Daphnia pulex: one gene and its partner. Each later gene encodes a partner of the first gene's protein in a complex. Links are inferred from orthologs where the notes say so. Each region holds a gene or a part of one and is shown on either strand. Other genes may lie near its edges.

Region 1 (4,414 bases):
GCTTTAACCAGAGATGGCTTTAACAACATTCCTACTATGTTACATTTTTCGGTTTAAGCAACCGTAGTGTGTGGAAGGCAATGTGAAGGTATATTAAAAATTTGAAAACCGCTGCTTGAACCAGAAAACTTATAGGGGTGCGTAACACGTGAAAACGCTGTTGAAAAATGGAAAACAATGAACAGTCTAGTTATGGTGAATGATCTTTCTGCGGTCGAGATTACTAGAGTTATCATAAGTTATTTTACACATTAATTGGTTTATTTTCCTAGCCTTAGCTATTCTTATCTAGCGACTAGTGTATTATTATTTAAAAAAAGGCCAATGGGTGTCCGCCTTTGGGATTTTGTTGCTGCACCAATAGACAGTTGGGTGATTGCCCTTGTATCGTTGTTATCCAAAAATGTTGAAACCGGATTTTTCTTAATCCAACCCGATTGTGACTTTAACCCAAAATATTCAGAAATGATTGATATGATTGTCATCGGTATTTTGACTAAACTATTCTTGGAAAGACAAGAGAAAAAAAAAGCACTCGTTAAAATGAATTAAAAATTAAATTAAAAACAGGAAACCAATGATAGAGATCTACAGTCCTACAGTTCATTTTCATCTCACGATCAATGACACATAAAATTGTATCCAAGTTGCCTTGTTCATTTTTATTTGCATTATCTTAGCGACCGATCTCGGCTTCAGCTGAATCCGATCGGTAGGCATACAACTACAACGTTCACACGTCCTCCTCAGACTGACCACACCAACCTCAATTACAGCGACCAGGTGCTCCGCAGTCGGCAGTCGTCGAATTCACATTTCTGTTATAAAACGTTAAAATTCGCAGAACGAGAGAAAACTGAAATGGATGTATAATAACAAGAACACTATAATTAATAAAAATTTAAAGTAGATGTGGGGAATGAAAACCCATGGTGATGCGTGATGCTGACGATAACATAACGAAGGCCGTTAGGCCCCATCATCTTGCAAGCGCGAACACCAACAATTCCGTATTGTTCGACATATCTAGAATACTAAAAAACAATTAAATGATTATATATGAAAAAATCTACGTATGATTTAGGTTTATATGCTTGTATGCTGTAGAGTTACCGATGATATCTAACATCGTATACAACTATACATTCTTTAATAAACAATCAGACAAAGTAATGATTTAAATATGTGTGTCTTTTCCTCGCTAGATGAAGCAAAATTCCCCTTCAGGGTTAAATCAACCCCCCGGTTAACCCTGCAAAAGGGAGTTTCACGGCCATGTGATATTTTAATATGGCATCGTTGTTTAAGTCATCCTCATGCTGTAAACCTGTAAACAAAAAACTTTTTACATCTGAGTTCTGATGTTCTTAAGTTGTTACTAAGCTTCAGAAATTTTCTCGAGTTTCCTCTTATGTCCATTCGTTTTATTCGCTAAAATGTTACCTCAAATGATGGATTTATCATCAAATGATAATTTTACTCCAAGAGATTTTGAGGTTTGTATAGGATTTCCATACTATTGTTAGACTTATTCTTTAACAAATTTATATTTGATTGCCATGTTTAGTTAAGAAATATTGTTTATACATTTTTTTAGGTTGAACTTTTTGAATCTGCAAAAGTTAAAAATACTATTGCATGTTTAAAAGCTGACTTGGGTAAGATGTTCATTGCTGTAATGTTAATTCGAGAAAAAGCTTTTGAAGTGTGCAAGTAAGTTATGAAGTGATGTAAAATTTTAACTCATTAATTTACTTACTGTTTTAATTAGTTCTCTGCTCTTACCCAAGGGAGGTTTTTGCTCAGTTTACCTTACCCCAACAATCAAATTGGCACTTCAGCGTTCAGCTTACTTGCGCCATCACACTCCATTGAAAGTAGGAATTTTTCATGAGAAAAAAGGTGTATTGCAGTGGAGTTCTGAAAGGTAAATTTTTATAGAAGTATTTTATGGATAAAATTAACTGTAAAACACTTAATATGTATTATTCAAGATGGACAGAGGAGTTGGGGAAAAGTCAGGTGCTTGTCATGACATATTCCATATTTCTAGAAGTCATCCACAAAAACTTTCTCAAAATGAACAAGCTTAATTTGTTGATATTGGATGACTGCCATAATGTTATGAACAATGAAGCTTTAAAAGGAGTTTTAACTCTCTATGAAAATGCAGCAAGTAGTGTACATCCAAGAATCCTTGGATTAACTGCATCTATTGTAAATAACATATGCAAGCCGATGGAACTGTCTCAGTTGATAACTATTCTGGAAACAAAATTAAAATCGGTTATTTCGACTTCCAACAACGTTTTGTCAGCCTTGCAGTAAGTATATGGTGATTAATTCATTTAGTGTGGGCATGATGAAGTCCAATATGCTATCTGCTTGCTGACTACTTTTGTGGAAAATTAACTCTTCTAATGTTTTATTTAATCTAGGCATTCAACTCGACCCAAAGAATTGATATGTGAAATATCGTCCAAGTATGAAGCCACAGAGCTGCAGCAAGAAATAATGGGTCGTATTCTTTTATTGAATGATTATCTGCGAGATCATCGATATGATCCCGCTGAGTACTATGGGGAACAAGATTATCTAAAAGAGATTCCTAATCCATGTCATGAACCTCTTGATCTACTTGAAGAATACATCCAAATCATTCAAAATTTTGGTGAATAATCACAAATATTTTTATAAGTTTTTTTATTTATTTTTAGAAGTTTACGTTAGACGATTTTAAAAATTAATACAATATAATTGACCTAGGTCCTTGGGGAGCAGACCGTGCTGCTTTGGTATACCTCATTCATTTAGAAAAATTGAAAACGAAAGCAGTTTATGAAAGACACTATCTTCTATTATGCCTTGTCTTCACTGTTTTACTTGAAATAAGGTTTGCGCTTTTAAAGTACACATTTCAACGTACTTTGTATACATGATATATATATATTTACTTTCTAGATCATTGTGCGAAGAAGAGTTTCAGAAATACTCTGAATATGAACGTATCGTGAAGTTTAGCCATCCCAAGGTTCTTCGCCTGTTGGACATTCTTCGGATCTACCGACCGCCGATACCTTCCGTGCTGCCCACAAGTGCTGAATTAGTAGAAGTAAGCGATTCTTTAGTTTCGTCCGAAGGGCAAACTGTTCAGACCCCAAAGTTGGCAACCGAAACGTCGCAAACCGCAGAATTAATTGAAAACGGTCCAGCGATTTTGCGTCAATCGACAACTCAACCAGGACACACTAGTCGACGGCGGCGTCCTGATTTCTCAAATCGCCATCACCGAAATCGAGAAGATGCTTACCAGCTCTGTGGGATGATTTTCACTGAAAGACGTACTACAGCAAAATTACTCTACCATCTTTTAAAGGTTCCACAACGACAAAATTCTCGTATTGCTATGTAATATTTAATGCCGAATATTCATTTACATTTTTTTATAGGATGCAAGTCGTTGTGATCCACAACTAGCTTATCTAAGCCCGTTGTATACGGTTGACCGAATGGAAGGCGTGAGTGTCAAAGAAATGGAGAATGAAGAAAGAAAGCAAGAAGACGTCATGAAACGATTTCGTAGTCGTGATTGTAACATTCTTGTAGCCACTAGCGTATTAGAGGATGGAATTGACGTTCCGGCATGTCATCTGGTTATTCGTTACGATTTACCACAATCCTACCGGGCTTACGTTCACTCAAAAGCTCGAGCTCGCGCTAAAAAAGCACATTACATCCTCATGGTCGAAAATGAGCGCATGGATGAGTTTTTAGTGGATTTATCTCACTTTCATGCAACAGAACAAATTCTGTTAAGTAAAAGCGGGTATCACAATTCGGTTGCTGAGTTTTTCAACCACAACGAAGATATGCTTAATTGCATTCAGGCTCCCTACCCTTCTGATGAAACTTCTAATTCGTATGCATCTTTGCAAAACGCGATTTCTATAATTAACAGGTATCACATACTTTTTTAATTCTGTAAAACTAGGTTTCATGAAAAATTTCTGTTGTAGATATTGCGCAAAGTTGCCTAGCGATTGTTTCACACGCTTAACCCCTGTGTGGAGGATACGTACCATAAAACGAGAATTAATTGAACCATCTGTTTTGGATAAATGGATTGGACTATTTAAAAATAGTGGTGCAACAGAAAACGTTTTCTTGGACGTAGCATACATATGCTCGTTGCAGTTACCAATTAATTCTCCTCTGCGAAAGACTGTATTAAGTCAACCTATGCCATCAAAAGTAACGGCCAAACGATCTGCGGCACTAGAAGCATGTCGGTTATTGCACCAAAAGAAAGAGTTGGACGATCATTTCTATCCAACGGGGAAGGAAAACCTTCGGCTTGAAGAGGAAGAGGATTACAATGCCGATTTGGAAGAAGAAAATGTACCAGAAAACTTAC
Region 2 (4,156 bases), about 4.5 Mb from region 1:
GAGGCCCAAAACTGGTTGTGCCACCACCGTCGTCTTGTGTCTCAACTATCAAACGCCGATGTGATCAATCCCGGGCGCATTTTTACCCACTCCAGTCAGACTGCAGTGGCTGCAGCAGCTCAGCATTCGACGAAACCTAACCAAAAAACCAAACGGGCTGACGTCAGCATTCTTTCGATGATGTCATCATCTTCCATTAAACTTGGCATCACGAGATTTCTCTCTCTCTCTCTACACACACACAATTCCAACAGCAGAAAATGGAAGAAGAAGAAGAAAACAGAGTCGATCCTCGGCTCTTATCGACCCATACCCACCCCCACACACACACACACACACAACGGCCCTTGACACACACCGAGCAACGACTTTTTCTTTCTCTTTTTACCTCTGGGTGGCGCCAGCCGATGCTTTTCTTACATGTAGGCCACTTTTCGCCAGCTAATTATATATCTAGATTGCACACACGGCCAATTCAATTCAATACGATCAAGACACACACAAACACACTCACAGCTAGAGACCTTCTCTCTCAAGCCAACACACACACAACACACACAACACTCACACCACTTGTCTCTCTCTCTCTCTCGACACACAACACACTGTACGGCGCCAAACTGCTGCTGGGTCTCAACTGTGAGCGTCGAGCGTCACGACAACACCAAATCCAACTCGAGACTAAATCAGCAGCGCCGAGCTGCTGCAGCGGACCAATCGGCAAGAAGAAGAAAAAAAAGGGAAAACTAGACACGCCAACGCCATCTAGCGGCAGCCATTAAAATCGATCACAATGTGTATTTTCTTTTTCTGTCTCGTTGGGGGTTGGTTGGCATATCATTTGAGGGAGGGCATTTTTTTACAATTACACACACGCACGCAATTGACGATTGATTTCAAGAAAATGCCGCCACATGAAAATGTTGAGATTGTCAATAAGGACTAAAACAAATGACCTAGTCTGAGAGAGGAAATACTTTTAAGGTGTAAAGCAAAATGCTAAATTGGTGGTCACATCGTCAAAGCTATTACTACCGACTACTATTCGTTTCTTCATTGGCCGAGTCGGTGGCGGGATCGGTGCTGCTGCTGGCCGGGACTTGTGCTGATGGCATCTTCTTCGTCATCAGCTTGAGATAGTGCAGGGCACTGAAGGCGGCTTCTTTTTGAGCTTCTTCGTAGGACGAGCCGCTGCCGCAAACGACGGCGATTGGCGTGAGCGACATGGTCAAAAGACACTGGTATCGACCCGAATGCGTCTTTTCCTCAATGTCCACGTAGGTGGCGTCAAACTTTTGCTCCGCCGATATCTCGCGCAGCAATTGGAAGTAATCTAAACAAGGATCCTTCAAGGCCACTTCCTGAGCAAGCAGCAGTAACAAAAAGTAGCAAAACGGAATTCAGCTGGGGTTGTTTTAAAGAAAAAGAAACACGGTATTATTACATACTTGTAAGGCTGCGATCTTTTCTCCGGCGAGTTTTCTGAGGCTTCGGTGGAACTGCGTTATTTTGATTCCGTGAGAGGATTTGCTCGATTGGTTTTCCTTTAAGCCGCCACACCTAAGTGAAGCCCTTTGCGCAATCTGTTGGACAAGGCAAAAGCTTCGATTGCAACACACATTTCACCTGCAATAATAAAACGTAATGGCATTACTTCATCCTCGTCCTCGAGACCGCCTTGGTTGGGCAGCTCGATGGGCGTATCTTTGAGTTTCATCTGCATTCGATAGGCCGCTTGTCTCTTTGCCAATTTCTTCGACTTGCCCACTCCAATTTCCTGGTGGTTCTCCACGACACAAGTGATGACAAATTCCCTTTCGTGTGGCAGGCCATTTTCGCCTTCCAGCACGTAACTCGGAGGCGCCCATCTGTGAGATATGCACAGTTCTTGTAGGTTGCCTACTGGATTGCCCGGAATACCATCATCTGCAATCACAATGGGAAAACATTTTACACAAGGAAAGCTCCATTAATCGTAGTCTTGTTACCATAGGGTGAAGTTACTGTTCTCAACCTAAAATGTTGGGAAAATTTACGTCATTTAATGCTTATTCTGTTTTGGATTATGGACTCTGGGAAATAAAAGCTCACGTGCCACCACCAATATTTTCCAGCAATGTAGAGCAATGACCACCCCAGATTTTGTCCAAAACCGCTTTAGCTGCAGCATGCTTGGCTTTTTTCTTGGACTGCCCAGATCCCATGGCTAGATTGAATTCAGTTGACGGGTTGAATGTCAGCAGCATGTGCGGAATTTTTTGGCTCCTACTTACCAACTAGTTCCCCAACAGAAACCCGATATTTGAACGTAGGCTCATGGATGGCCCCCTCGATTTGGATCAAATCATACTTGGGGTTGATGCCCTTCTTCACGTACAGCTCCTGAAGCAAGGAGACCGGTGTTTTCGCTGCACCCTGAAGAAACAAGATAAATATTTACACAAGTCGATCAAAAATAACAACAGCACAGTTTGTGATTCGGGGGCATTGGGGATTTAGTTGTACCTCCATGCCTTCAGCGTGTGTACTGCCCTCGGTTTCGTCCAGTAACGTGTCTTCATCTAGGTTATATATCTTCATTCTTTATATATATTTCTTTTTGGGGAAAGACTTCAAAACTAAAAATAACTGGGTAGCGGGTTGTTGTGTATGGACGTTATTGCTTGTGGCAGACGAACGAACATTAAGACCCTCAACGCCATCTGGAGGCGTGAAACTCGTTCGATTTCCAATCGTCTAGGAAGCAACACATTCACGACATTTTTTTCTCAAAAAGAAAAAAGAAAAAACTAATAATATAATTCCTAGTCTAGAGATTGGGTAATCTAGGAATGTCCATCTTGTCCTTTTCAAATTCCATACGTGAATTCGTGTTTTATGCACGTTCTATTTCAGGGAGCGACGAAGATTGCGGAACCCATCAGTGTGCTTTTTAGTCAGGTTTTTGTTAAGTGCAGCTAGCAGACATTTGGGGCAAGTTCCTTTTTTTAATATAGATTTTTTGTGCTGTTGTTGTTCACGAATAGAGTGTCGTGATGATGGAGACGTGAGTGGCTAGCTACATAGAATCTCTTATTTGCTAGAGACGACGAGACTGGGCCGGCAGCCAAACCGTTTTTCGTTTGTACCGAGGACTTGCACACACACTCTCTCTCTCTCTATACGCACCACGAAGCACTAATTATAGATCATGAGCAAAAGAGGAGAGCTGTGTGACTAGAAAGAGAAAAACACACACAGCCCGGACAAGAGAGAGTGGAGGGGGGATGACAATCGACGGCTCATTGCTCTTGCAAGAGGAGAGAGAAAAAAAGGGGCGACTTGGTGCCTTCATTCCGGACGTAACCTCGCCGAAAAATTATAGAAAAAAGGCTCGTCGTTACGCCACATTGACATTCCGCTTCTTCATTCCGTTCCTGCTTCGCATGCAGACAAGTCCAAATGAAATATTGCCAGCCGCATTTATCTTATAACTTATCCAACAACTAATGACCACCATTTCAGACATATACGAACATTAAAAAGTCCGCAAAGATAAGTCGAGCTTGGAATTATGAAACGTGTCTTCTACTAATAATGAATAATTAATTTTTGTGTAACTTGCGCAATTTCTTGCTATAGAAACAACTAGAAACAATTTGATGTTTTTATAAGCGAAGCCGTCTCCATATTCAACCAACCCGGAAAATGATTCTATCTCGGTTTTGGTTGTTGTTGCGATAAACAAGGTAAATGCGGTAAAATGAAACCGTTCGCCAAGGGCATCACAAATAATAACGACGCGTACGTTTCACAATATAATCGAGATTAGCCAGTTTGAAATATTTTATCTAGCTCCTTTGAAGAATGGTTGTGAATACTGCTGTGCGCAACTTTCTTTTTGACAGCAGCGCGTCCTTTTGTATGGGCCCCAATGCAATATGATATATCAGCAGCGCTGGTCTTAGGCTTGCGCTTCAGGTCTAAGTGCTATACAAGATTATATTCCGTCAAATAGAAAATATATGGGGTCACCGGTCGCCGCTACTCGGAAACTTGAACCCATAGACGGTTTCTATTTTCATATTTCTCTGTTAAGAGAAACCCAGTAAACATGTAGATACAGTATATCTAACGTTAAAAAAAAAACTTTAAGCCTTTTTAGAAAGGTTTTCTT

Evidence for each region.
Region 2: the proteins of endoribonuclease Dcr-1-like (region 1) and RISC-loading complex subunit tarbp2-like are in contact, whole or in part, in a cryo-EM structure (PDB 8DGJ), measured with the Drosophila melanogaster proteins. The link is inferred for Daphnia pulex from reciprocal best matches to the Drosophila melanogaster genes Dcr-1 and loqs. Residues at the interface, in NP_524453.1 of Drosophila melanogaster: His245, Phe248, Asp251, His252, Arg253, Asp255, Glu258, Ile259, His303, Tyr306, Gln307, Glu310, Lys311, Lys313, Arg320, Leu323, Cys326, Leu327, Ser329, Thr330, Ile333, Gln334, Tyr336, Ser337, Leu338, Glu340, His341; in NP_609646.1 of Drosophila melanogaster: Thr358, Gln359, His360, Ser361, Lys363, Val364, Phe367, His368, Lys372, Ile414, Glu415, Glu416, Lys417, Thr418, Phe419, Gln422, Gln424, Pro433, Val434, Gly435, Val436, His438, Ser440, Asn454, Tyr458, Ile461, Met462, Lys464, Lys465.

The regions. Positions count from the first base shown.
Region 1 is NC_060018.1:8,404,641-8,409,054, reverse strand, and holds the start of endoribonuclease Dcr-1-like, read left to right. Parts: upstream 1-1,301; 5' UTR 1,302-1,436; coding exon 1,437-1,496; intron 1,497-1,597; coding exon 1,598-1,713; intron 1,714-1,771; coding exon 1,772-1,927; intron 1,928-1,994; coding exon 1,995-2,324; intron 2,325-2,438; coding exon 2,439-2,671; intron 2,672-2,766; coding exon 2,767-2,893; intron 2,894-2,961; coding exon 2,962-3,376; intron 3,377-3,449; coding exon 3,450-3,958; intron 3,959-4,016; coding exon 4,017-4,414. UniProt on the Drosophila melanogaster protein: Endoribonuclease which functions in microRNA- (miRNA) gene silencing and, independently of its ribonuclease III activity, also acts in the short interfering RNA- (siRNA) gene silencing pathway.
Region 2 is NC_060018.1:12,865,470-12,869,625, forward strand, and holds RISC-loading complex subunit tarbp2-like, read right to left. Parts: upstream 2,652-4,156; 5' UTR 2,581-2,651; coding exon 2,506-2,580; intron 2,416-2,505; coding exon 2,274-2,415; intron 2,207-2,273; coding exon 2,092-2,206; intron 2,015-2,091; coding exon 1,989-2,014; intron 1,927-1,988; coding exon 1,655-1,926; intron 1,584-1,654; coding exon 1,449-1,583; intron 1,362-1,448; coding exon 1,032-1,361; 3' UTR 779-1,031; downstream 1-778.